Linked DNA regions of Drosophila melanogaster. The protein of the gene in region 1 interacts with the protein of each later gene in a pairwise test. Each region holds a gene or a part of one and is shown on either strand. Other genes may lie near its edges. The genes, in order: PAN3, CycK and PAN2.

Region 1 (3,754 bases):
TAATGGGGTCAGCCATCATCAGATACATTAACGAAACAATACAGATTAACGGTATCGATTACGACGGCACGGTTGACACGTTCCCTGAACAGACGGATTTTGATCTTCCCCCCATGCGAAAAGTAACTAGGAATACCACTATTACGGTACTAAGCCTAGAAAAACTGCACCTCGAAGCCACCCAAACAATGGATAAAATCCTGGCCGTCCATCACAATACTATACAGCACACCTGGACACTCTACACTCTGCTCGGATTGGTAACGTTCCTAGCAGTCATCTTATGGCTGCACCGACGAACGAAACACATCGTCCACATCCACGAGGATCATCACGTACCAATCTACGCGTCATCCATACCTTCGCTATGGCCGTCACTTCGAACTGGGGGGGGAGGAGTTACCACCCCACCCCCTAAACCCCCACGCCTCTAAACAAATCATCGGACACTCAACCGGGAAGACGGCAACTGGAACACCGCATCCGGCCGAATGCTGACATTCCGGCCGAATGCTGACATTACACAAAAGTCGCACTGCAACATTGTCCCCAGCTAGCCAGCCACATGCCGAGTCGGCATGTTCATTATGCTTACAATTAAGAACCTATGTACTTATGTATAAGACGAAAACGGAGGACTCGAGTAGCCACTCTCTGACAATAAACTTCATACTGATTTTGAACTTCAAGAAAGTCAGTCGTATTCTTTATTGGAAATCTTCACACTACAACTATCTGCTGAAACTTAAAAACCTTCATACATTTACACATCATATCTTCACAAAAGGCTCCACCCTCGATCACGGACTTAACTCCCGCCCTCGCTCCCCCTCGCACTCTTTCAATGTTTTCAAGGCGAATAATGCAAGAGCGCCCCAGCTAGACGTCTCGCTCTCGCACAGCTGTGTCTTGCTAGGGTGGAGAGAGGGAGAGAGGTGTTTTACTCTTACAGCTGAGCTGCCACGATTTGTTTGTATACAGAATGAGGCGCACACACACACGCGCACTTGCTGTTTTTCTTCTTTCGCTTTTAAAGCTCTTACTTCCTTTTTTTGATTCTAGTTTACAAGGGCTTATAGTTCAAGCCGCTGTAAATAATCCAAAAACTCACCTGGTACATGGCCGTCTTGGGCAAATCCAGGCAGACGGCACAGCACAGGGCATTGGAGATGCGGTGGGCCAGCTTTTCGTGCATTCCCGAGGCGGCTGCGGCACTGGAAAGCAAGCTGCTGCCGCTGCTGCTGGTGGCACCACCGCCCCCTCCGTCCAACAACTGTTTCTTGGCCGGCGGTTCTCCGCTGCCCTGCGTGTCCAGCGGCACGCCCACCACATTGCCGCCGCCCACCGACGAGGAGGACGACGATGTGGAAGAGGAAGAGGCCGAGGAGGCGGAGCTGGTCGTGGCCACCGCCTGGTTGTCGCCCAGGAGCGGTAGGTTCGAGGACGACGGCGGCTGTTGGACCGCCGAACTGGAGGATTCCACCGACATGATTGGAAATTTTCTTGGAATAATGTTTGTTGTGTTTTTCTTTGCCACTCGCTTCGTACACAAACTCCCACACACACGACCACTAAACTACTACACACACACAAGCAATACCCAGTTTGCTCTCTCTCTCTTTCGCTCGCACACTAAGTATGGCACTTTCTTTCAATTGCCACCTTTCCCCGCTGTCCGTGTCGTGTCGTTCTCTTCTGTGTTCTTCCGTTCTGTTCTGTTTGCAAGCTTTTTGTCCGCCGACACGTCCGCTCGCCAAAAAATTTGTTGTCTTTCTAGAGAGTGTTGTGCGGTGTGACCAAATCTTATATTAGGCAAAATACTAGTATAACGTATCGATGTTATTGGCAAAGCCTATCGATGTTTTTCTATTGTCTGTGTTTCTCCAGCCCTGGTTGATCGTTAGCAGGGACACCATCCCCTTTACAAAGTAATAAAATAACAAATATTATTAAATTAACCATTTCAAAATAAAATAGCATTAAAATAATATAGCAAAATCTGCCTTCATATATATAATTTTACAAGTATATTATTGAAAACGAATCCATTCGTGTTTAATGTGCTGCCCTTATATCCGGCAGTACGGAACTCGTCACTCGCGAGATGCGGTCACACTGCTTGCGGCAAACGGAAAACATGTAAGAAATTAAATATTGTGATTTTGTCTTTAAAATGTACAAAAGTTTGACAAAACACAAACGGCAGGTTCTTTATGAAGTCACCTCTCGCAAAGTGAACTATGACTGGTCAGTGGAGGTACGGAAAACGTGGATTAAAGAGCGAAAAATCGCAGTTTTCTCAGCAGACATTTTTGTATCACTTCGCTGTGCGCTGTGTGTTTGGCATTTTTTGTGTTTGTGTGTGTGTGTGCAACAGCGGCATCAATTTGAAAAATAACAAAAACAAATCGTTGGCGTGTTGAACAAAAAACTATACGTATTTGCTATCTGGCTTGCGTTATAAGAACCATTTGGACAAATTGCGTCTTAAAAATTTGGTGACCAAGATGGCTTCAATTTCATTTTCGGTGGTGAATTAAAAACTTTAATGAAAATAAAAACTTAATGAATTGACTTTTAATTCACGTGCAATTATTATGAAAATTTTTGAAAATTAAAATAAAAATATTTCCAAAAACGTTGTAACAAAACTACACTTATAAATTGGCTTTTGGCTTGCTTAGTGAACTTAGTTAATTATTTCCAGCTGTTCCCACTCAAAAAACAAATCGTATACATATGTGTTCTTATTTCCTTTGCTCCTGCTTTTTCTCTTCCCCTTCTTTTCGTTCCCTTCCCCTTTGCGTCCTCTTCCCCTTTTCCTAGCCAGCTGTTTGTCGCGTTCCACAAATATGGCTGGAGTGTGGATCGCGTTTGGAGCCCAGGCTCCCACATTTCTCTATGTGGAACGCAACCTGTGGCCAGCTGTTGGGTCCTGTTGAACTCCCCCCAGCCAAAAACTTACATATGTATATGTATTTATTTTGTGTATATATGCATGTGTGTATAACAACGCCAATTGCTAGGGTTTCTGCAAAACGTCCTGGCCACTTGAAGGTGAAGTGTTACAATACCATAAAGGGGTTTCGCCATTTTTAAAAGTTATTTTATTACATTATATTCAATAATGGAACTTCAGTAGCGTGTCAAAGGATTTCTCTTTGAAAGAATACGTATTTCATATCCAGCATTTATCAGCTGAAAAACATGAGGGACTTTATACAATCTGTTAAATTTCTTTGCATAAAATGATATATATGTTAATTAAAATTATTAACAATAGCTAAAGTCCATGTAACCCCTTGAGCGCGGATGTTTTCCCAACACTCCTCGAATGGAATCCACATCCACTTTGTTGCACACACAGCTGGCAGTTGTTGTTTTTATCCGACCTCCTGTGCACACACACACACAGACGGACGTACATGTATACAACACTCGGGGGTCGTTTGTGGACTCCATTTGGCTTGGCTGTTGGATCTTCTTTGCGTTTTCTTCATTCGTGCAGCGCCAATCGCGCGGTGTGTGTGTTGCGTTTTTCTTATTTGCAAAATCGTTGGAAAATGGTAATGAAAATGTATACAATATAGCAACAGCAGCTCCTTTCAAGGAAATATCCTCATTAAAGTAATTACGGTACTGAAAGCAATTCAAAAGCTAACAATGAAACAGGCAATTAACTACACAATATGTTGGCTTAGGTTCAGTGTGTATGTATTTTGGATGGTGTTAAATATAAAACTCTAAAAATATG
Region 2 (3,754 bases), on another chromosome or scaffold:
CTATATTTAAATACCTAAAAGCGTAAAAATAACTACATATTAATGCACAAACAATAAAATTGAATGCATACTAACTTTTCTTATGCTTAAAATATTACAAATGTGTGTATATTATTAGTTTAAGTTTCAAATTAGTGAGTAAATGAATTTTTCACATTTCTTTATCTTTAAGTCATTTTTGAAAGGCAGGTGGTAATTGTGAGCCTGCACTAGTTTTAGGAGATAATAATTACGTGTTTATTTTAAACAAAATCGGAAGGTACTAGTCAGTAAGCATTAATTATTATTTTTTAAATAAGGCAAATATGTATATTTTAAAATATGAAATACATGTATGTATGTCCGTATAAATAAAACCGTGAAATCAAATGTCGATTAAGTCATTTGACATAGCCAAGCCAGGAAATTTGCGGCTGATCCAAAAATATCTACCTGAGTGTAGCATAGGTGGGATAAATTTGGGCAATACGACCAAGATCGTCATCGTTCTCCAATTGGGAATCCTTCCGTGTACGCCGAACTGGTAGGCTGGGCATCGCTTAGCTTCGAACCCAATTACGAATATAGCAAATTTATACGCGGTATTTGTAGCTTTCCCAGGATAACAACACAATCCGCATAGACGGAATCTGCGATCAGGGGTGATCAAACGTTAGAATTTGCACAACATTTGGGTTTGTTTACCTTTTTGAAGTTCGAGATCGTAATTGCTTGTCTTGTGAGACGTAGATAGTTTTCAACGTTGGGGGTACTCCGGCCTTGGTTGTTAACCGCAACCAAATACTTAGCATGCAATTGGCGCAGTCGAATGACGGAAATTCACATTCCCTAAGTGCTCGTTAAATAGAAGTTAAAATACTAGAATTGTATACATATACTGAATCACTTGGTGAAAGAAATATAAAATGTTTGTTATCACTGATAAATTTTAATATACATTTTTAAATTCAATCAAAGTCAATTCCATATTATCTGTACTTCATTAAAAAATATAATATTATTAAAACAATACGATCCCCACCGGCGTTGTATATTTTCACCGATTTTACGTGTTTCATTCATTCTTGAGTTTCCCCTGATACGTGTCTGCGTGCTGCTGGATGTTCTTTGAGTTTTGTAAAATTTTATTTAAGTCAATGATCACTTGAGCGGTAAGGTTTGAAAATATGTTCACTAGCCTAAGTGCATGATTCAAAGAAAAATATACATAACATTTTCTACGTTAAAAAGAAGCATCTCGACTGATTTGGTTGTTTCGCTCTATCAAGCTCACGTTTCGGTTTTCCATTATTATGTAATTTGAGTGATATATATCGATTTTTAAGAATTTAACACACATTATAGAAACATAAAAAATATAGAAACATAATAAAATTATAGTGCCATCACTCGCGTTTATATTAATAATAAAAGAAAGAATACTATAGTCGAGTTCCAAGGCTATCAAATAACCGTTACCAGCTAGTGTGAATACAAACGCGAAATTGCATCAATTTTATGGAATATCGATAGATAATGGGATATAAAATGATAAAAAATTTCAAAATTGTTCCAAAGTGTGGCATTAGGGCGTTAGAGTGCGCGTGGCAAAAATTTTATTGACAAATCGATAGAAATTAAAAAGACTAATTAAATTATAGTCAGATCGACTAGGATATTGGTCCTGATCAAGAATATATATACCTTAAATGGTCGGAATACGAAAATACGACTAACGGTTATAATAAATTCATCACCACATTACTAGAAGTAATTACTATTAAATAGAAAGCGCTTACACTGCTCATAATCTTGTTATTACATTTTATAATGTTTAACGAATGCTATCTATGCTTTAAATTGAAATACTTGTTATCCAGTAGGATTATACATAATGAATTATTTCAATATACCATTTAACAACAAAACAAATTGCGCAATTCCCATCACTAATCCCTATGCTTGGTTTGATATCTCCAAAACATGGAAATGCGATTCCAGTGTAAACATCCCATTTGTTCCTCGTAACAGTCAAAGGACGGCCAAAACCACGTGTAAATATATCTGTTTAATTATATCCCAAAATTAAGTCACCAAAACTAGCAAACGCACAAAAAATATTCAGTTTGACCCGCAAGAGATCGAAAATTTTTGCGTTATCTATTTACCAATAAAGTTGTTCCATATACTCAAAATCGTCGTGGTCTTGGTGTAAAAGGGGCTTCCAATAAAGTTTTTTTCTTCATCGTCGTAGACATGGTAACACTGCAAGTGAACATAAAAATCGAAAACTGATTTATTTACAATAAACAAAAGCGCTTATCGGCTCCAGGACGCGCATATGCTGACAACCATTTGGCTAAAGGTTTAACACAAATTCCTTCCAACGACGCGGACTACTGGTAGTACCCGCAGCCTAAATTGCCGCGATGCCGTGCTGGTATTACGACAAAAAGGAGCTGCGGGAGACGCCCTCGATCTTGGATGGAATAAGCTTCGAAACGGAGCGGCGGTACAGAAAAGAAGGTGCTCGATTTATTATGGAATGTGGCACCAAAATGGGCTTGGGCCACAACACGATGGCCACCGGCGTTGTATATTTTCACCGATTTTACATGTTTCATTCGTTCCGGAGTTTCCCCCGGTACGTGACTGCGTGCTGCTGCCTGTTCTTTGCTGGCAAGGTGGAGGAGACGCCAAAGAAGTGTCGCGACATTATTAAAACTGCGCGTGGCATCCTTACCGACAATTACTTCTACTCGTTTGGCGACGACCCTAAGGAGGAGGTGATGACGCTAGAGCGTATTCTGCTGCAGACCATCAAATTCGATTTGCAAGTAGAGCATCCTTACACCTTTCTCCTAAAGTACGCTAAGTGTTTCAAAGGCGACCAGCAGAAGCTGCAAAAGATGGTGCAAATGGCGTGGAACTTCGTCAACGACTCTCTCAGCACAGTAGTTTGTCTACAGTGGGAGCCGGAGATTATCGCCGTGGCTCTTATCCATTTGGCCAGCAAGCTAAGCAAATTCACTGTGCAAGACTGGGAGGGCCGCCAGCCACAGCAGCAGCGTTGGTGGGATATGTTTGTGTCTGATGTAACGATGGAAATACTCGAAGACATCTGCCACCAAGTTCTGGACCTGTACCAATCAACCCAAAAAGAAGCGCTCCAGCCAACCAGTCCGCCCCAAAAGCCACCAAGCAGAGCCGACAGTCCAAAATCCGGCAAGCTTACCAATTCTACGGGTATTGGACCACTTTCCGTTCCACAACAGCCGCCGCCCCCCGTATGTGGCAACGGTGGCGTGCTGGAAGTTAGCAACATTCAGAGCATTAAATCCCTAGCCAGTGGCGTGCCAATCATTGGTCCTAGCGACTCCCAGAACCTGTTACAGGGCCCAACACCACCAGGTCAGCCATCCGGGTACCACATTTATCATGCTCCTCCACCGCCGCCCCCGCCGGTAGTGCCTATGCCGCCGTACCCCTCTTCCGGATGGGGAGTCCAGCAGACAGTGGTCGGACACTATAGCGGGAGCGCTGCACCACCACCACCAATGCCGCCTAGCTTGCCTCCAGGAGCCAGTGGATACTACAACGCCGGTGGGCGTCCATCGCAGCAGCGCTACTAGTAGATGCAATGACTAATAAACAAGTAAAAAAAATTTGTATATTAAAACTAGCGAACCGTTCGGAATAGGATTTAGAGCGGGGATCTTCGTACGGTTCGGTTTTCTTTTTTGGTTACACTCTAGGCCCAATATTGTCCCGGGGT
Region 3 (3,754 bases), on another chromosome or scaffold:
GCGAGGCGGCCCAGCTGGATATCATACAGCGTCTTGGCGGCTACGAGTACGTTCTGTCACCTTTTTGGAAGCGCGCCGTGGCGGAGACCATCGATATGTTCATCCTTTTCATTGTGAAAATCATCATTACCTTCGGGGTGGTCAACCTGTTCAACATAGAGTTCGATGAGGACGTGATTCGGCGCACCCTGGACCAAGAAGACCTCTTTTCGAACTTCTTTGACACATCACTAGATTTTATTTCGATGTCCACCGACCTCCTGCTAATCGAAATGCTGACCAAGTTCATCGTTTGCTGCTACGAAGCGCTGTGGACATACCTATACCAAGGGGCTACGCCGGGCAAGTCGCTGATGAAGATACGCATATACTATGTGGAAGCAGTGATGCCGCTTCAGGGGCCGCCCCTTCCACAGTTCGTCCTCCAGCCGCAGAGGGAGCCGATGAGGGCTCTGCTTTATCCGCCACAGACTCCCTCGCTGATGCGCTCCTTCGCCCGCGCGCTGATCAAGAACCTGGGGATGACCCTGCTCTTCCCCATTTGCGTGTTGATGGTCTTCTTCAAGAACAATCGCACCGCCTACGACGTCCTAACCAAAACGATTGTGGTGGAGAGCAATTCCATTGCCGTGTTCCGCACCCAAGGGCAAGCGCAGCGCAATAATCGCTGAGGACGGCACTTAAACCAGCCAAAGTGTGTAGGAATGGCGCACTCCTATGCACTTCCTATGCACATATAAATAGACTTGTTAATGATAAATTTAATGTCGTTATGTACTGCTGTCGTGTGAAATAAAATAAAATATCACATGAATACCTCAGAATCTGCACGATAATCAAACATAACCAGTAATCCCAATGATCAGTAGAGCTTCCGATATTCCTGTAGAGCTACTCTTCACTGGTACTAGAAACTGAATGATAATGAAGTTCTGATACTGAAATGGTGTGCAGGCGGTGATGTTTCGTTTATTGGCTCAAAGCTTTAGTTTCGTTTATTGGCTCACTTCACATTGACGTTCTTCAGGGTTTGGGCCACCACGTTGCCCTTGCCAGGAACATGGAGAGCGGCGCCCTTGTAGCAGGCAACCAGTTCGCCGTTGGTCTTCAGATCCGGGGCGCACGACTCAAAGATCTTCTTCTTGGGGTTGAGCTGGGCGTCTGGCTGGCGCGGATAGCCCTCGCAGTGAACCAGGTCGCCGGGAACAGCTCCGGCGGGCGGACTGAGCACTTCCACTTTTTCCGGTGTAGATGCGCACATGACCATAGCCTCCGAGGTGACGCCGCGCATTTTGGCCGGCTTCAGGTTACACATGACCACTACCAGACGGTTCTGCATCTCTTCCAGGGGCACGAACTTCACCAGACCGGACACCACGGTGCGTGGAGCCGCCTCGCCGCAGTCGATCTTCTCCAGATACAAGCTGTCGGCGTCGGGATGGCGACCCACCTCCACAATCTTGCCCACGCGTAAATCCAGGCGACCGACGTCGACGGGAGCCTCCGGAGCGGCGGCGGGCTTCTCGGCGGCCGGTTTCTTCTCCTTGGACTTCTTTTCCTTGGGCTCCTTGGCCGGCTTAGGAGCCGGGGCAGCGGGTGCAGCGGTAGCAGGTCCAGCCTCTGCCGGCATAACTACTGGGGCCGCACTGGTGCAGAAACCCCGGGCTCCAGGCACCGGAATCTGTTTCTTGCCATTTCGCAGCTCCAGCTGCACCAGCTGGGCCAAAGCCGCCTCAACTTCCTTGGCCAGTGCAGCGTTCTCCTTGATCAGCTCCTGCTTCTGGCGCTCCACAAGTTGCTGCTGGATGCCGGAAATCTGGGGGGCAGTAGGTTATCGAGTGTTCGCAGGCGCTGGCAGGCGGAAATACTTGCCTCGGCTTCAATGGAGTTGATCAGCGCCTCGGCGCGCTCGTTGTTGCTTGCAATCTGCTGCAGATCGGCCATTGTTCTTTTGTTTCTCGCGAATTTTGAGCAATTCTGGCCGTAATTTTTACATGCGGATCCCACAGTCGTGGCAGCTCTACGCAGCATTGCAGTGCTTCTTCTTGCCACGCACAGTGGCGTCGCGCAGCGTTGGACAGGTAGTTCGTTGGCGGAGAAGCGAGAGTATTTTTACATCAGCCCTGCCAGGGTCACTCTAATCGGTGCAACGCAAAAACGGCTGGCAGTTTTGAGCGAAATTTGTTAAAAAATAAACAATAAAAAGTCGCGTGGGCATCGGCGTGCGGCAGATGGATTACGTGTATTGCGGCACCGACCCCATCGGGGCCTCCGAAGACATACTAAGTGGGTCAAGGGGTCGCTTTGGGGCCAACGCTCACCCACACGCACACACACACGCAAGCCAGCTAAAGCTTTCTCCTTTGTTTTCTGTTTACTTTTTGAAAAGGTGTTTATGACGCGGGATCTGCGCCGGGAAACGGGCACTTTTCGCCCAGCTTCAATGGATTCAACATCGGCACCACCGATCCGGAATATGTGGAGCTTGTGCCCGTGCTTGCCGACGGCGGGGAGCACTTCGGCGTTTCCAGCGTGGCGTTCGACGACTACGAAGAGCTGCTGTGGATGGGCAACCAGGGCGTGAGTTCCTCGTCCAGCCTGCCAGGCTTACTAATCCTGAATCTTCGCTCCTTCCCGCAGGGCCACGTCACATCGTACTACACAAACTCCATGCAGAAGTACACATCCTTTCAGGTCCACGCCACCGACATTGTGCGCGACATCTCCACCCTGGACTCCGGAGTGCTGGCGCTCACGCAGACCTCGCTGCGTCATCAGATCCGCAGGGGTCTGCCCAAGTTTACCTTCAAGTAAGCCACCGCGCTGGCACAAAGATTCCCCGAAAGTGAGGTTTCAATTTCTTGCAGATCGAACAACATGAAGGAGATGGTGAGCATGCTGCAGCTATCACCGCATCGTCTGGTCATGGCCGGACTGCAGGACGAGCTTATCGACTTCGACCTGCGCACGCTCAAGGAAACCCGCATAGAGCATGTGGGTGCCGGCGGATGCACGGTGCTACGCAAGAATTCACGTTATCTGTTTGCCGGCGACCAGCTGGGAACGGTAACGTTGCGCGACCTGAACAGCCTGAGTGTTCAGCACACAATCAAGACGCACACCAACATCCTTTCGGACTTCAGTGTCCAGGGAAATCTGCTAATCTCTTGCGGCTACAGCGGAAGGCAAAATAACCTGGCCATCGACCGCTTCCTAATGGTCTACGATCTGCGCATGCTGCGCCTGATCGCGCCCATTCAAGTGATGATTGATCCGCAGATGTTGAAGTTCCTGCCATCGCTGACATCCCAACTGGCCGTCGTGTCCAGCTACGGCCAGGTTCAGCTGGTGGACACTGTGGAGCTCAGCGAGCCGCGAGTATCCATGTACCAGATCAACACCAACGGCAGCCAGTGCCTCAGCTTCGACATTAGCTCCTCTTCACAGGCCATGGCATTTGGGGACCAGTCGGGCCACATCAACATGATTGCCGCTGTACAAACGCCTCAGCCGCAGTTCAATCTCTACTCGCGAAGCACAGAGTTTGCGGACGTGGTGCCACAGCTGCCGATGGTCTCCATTACGGACACCAACTTTCCGCTATCGTCGGTCATGCTACCGCACTTGACGACGGGCACACAATGGTTCTCAGATTGGCCGGAGGAACTGCTGCGCTACCGCTACCACAGGCCCAAGACCATTGATCCCGAAGTGCTGAGCAACATGAAAATGCAGGGACCGATTGGATACTCGC

Evidence for each region.
Region 2: the proteins of PAN3 (region 1) and CycK interact in a two-hybrid assay, tested with the Drosophila melanogaster proteins (3 studies listed by BioGRID).
Region 3: the proteins of PAN3 (region 1) and PAN2 interact in binary tests that used the Drosophila melanogaster proteins (3 or more experiments, as listed by UniProt).

The regions. Positions count from the first base shown.
Region 1 is NT_037436.4:3,069,051-3,072,804, forward strand, and holds the start of PAN3 (Poly(A) specific ribonuclease subunit PAN3), read left to right. Parts: upstream 1-2,082; 5' UTR 2,083-2,257; intron 2,258-3,496; exon of another isoform or gene 3,497-3,710; intron 3,711-3,754. Other genes in the region: CG32486 (uncharacterized protein), read right to left, coding at 1,112-1,489. UniProt on the Drosophila melanogaster protein: Regulatory subunit of the poly(A)-nuclease (PAN) deadenylation complex, one of two cytoplasmic mRNA deadenylases involved in general and miRNA-mediated mRNA turnover.
Region 2 is NT_033779.5:22,128,378-22,132,131, reverse strand, and holds the start of CycK (cyclin K), read left to right. Parts: upstream 1-1,989; 5' UTR 1,990-2,408; coding exon 2,409-3,611; 3' UTR 3,612-3,754.
Region 3 is NT_033778.4:8,926,069-8,929,822, forward strand, and holds the start of PAN2 (Poly(A)-binding protein-dependent poly(A) ribonuclease 2), read left to right. Parts: upstream 1-2,100; 5' UTR 2,101-2,231; coding exon 2,232-2,286; intron 2,287-2,389; coding exon 2,390-2,580; intron 2,581-2,640; coding exon 2,641-2,810; intron 2,811-2,867; coding exon 2,868-3,754. Other genes in the region: CG8237 (uncharacterized protein), read left to right, coding at 1-671; AIMP1 (aaRS-interacting multifunctional protein 1), read right to left, coding at 1,004-1,816, 1,873-2,031. UniProt on the Drosophila melanogaster protein: Catalytic subunit of the poly(A)-nuclease (PAN) deadenylation complex, one of two cytoplasmic mRNA deadenylases involved in general and miRNA-mediated mRNA turnover.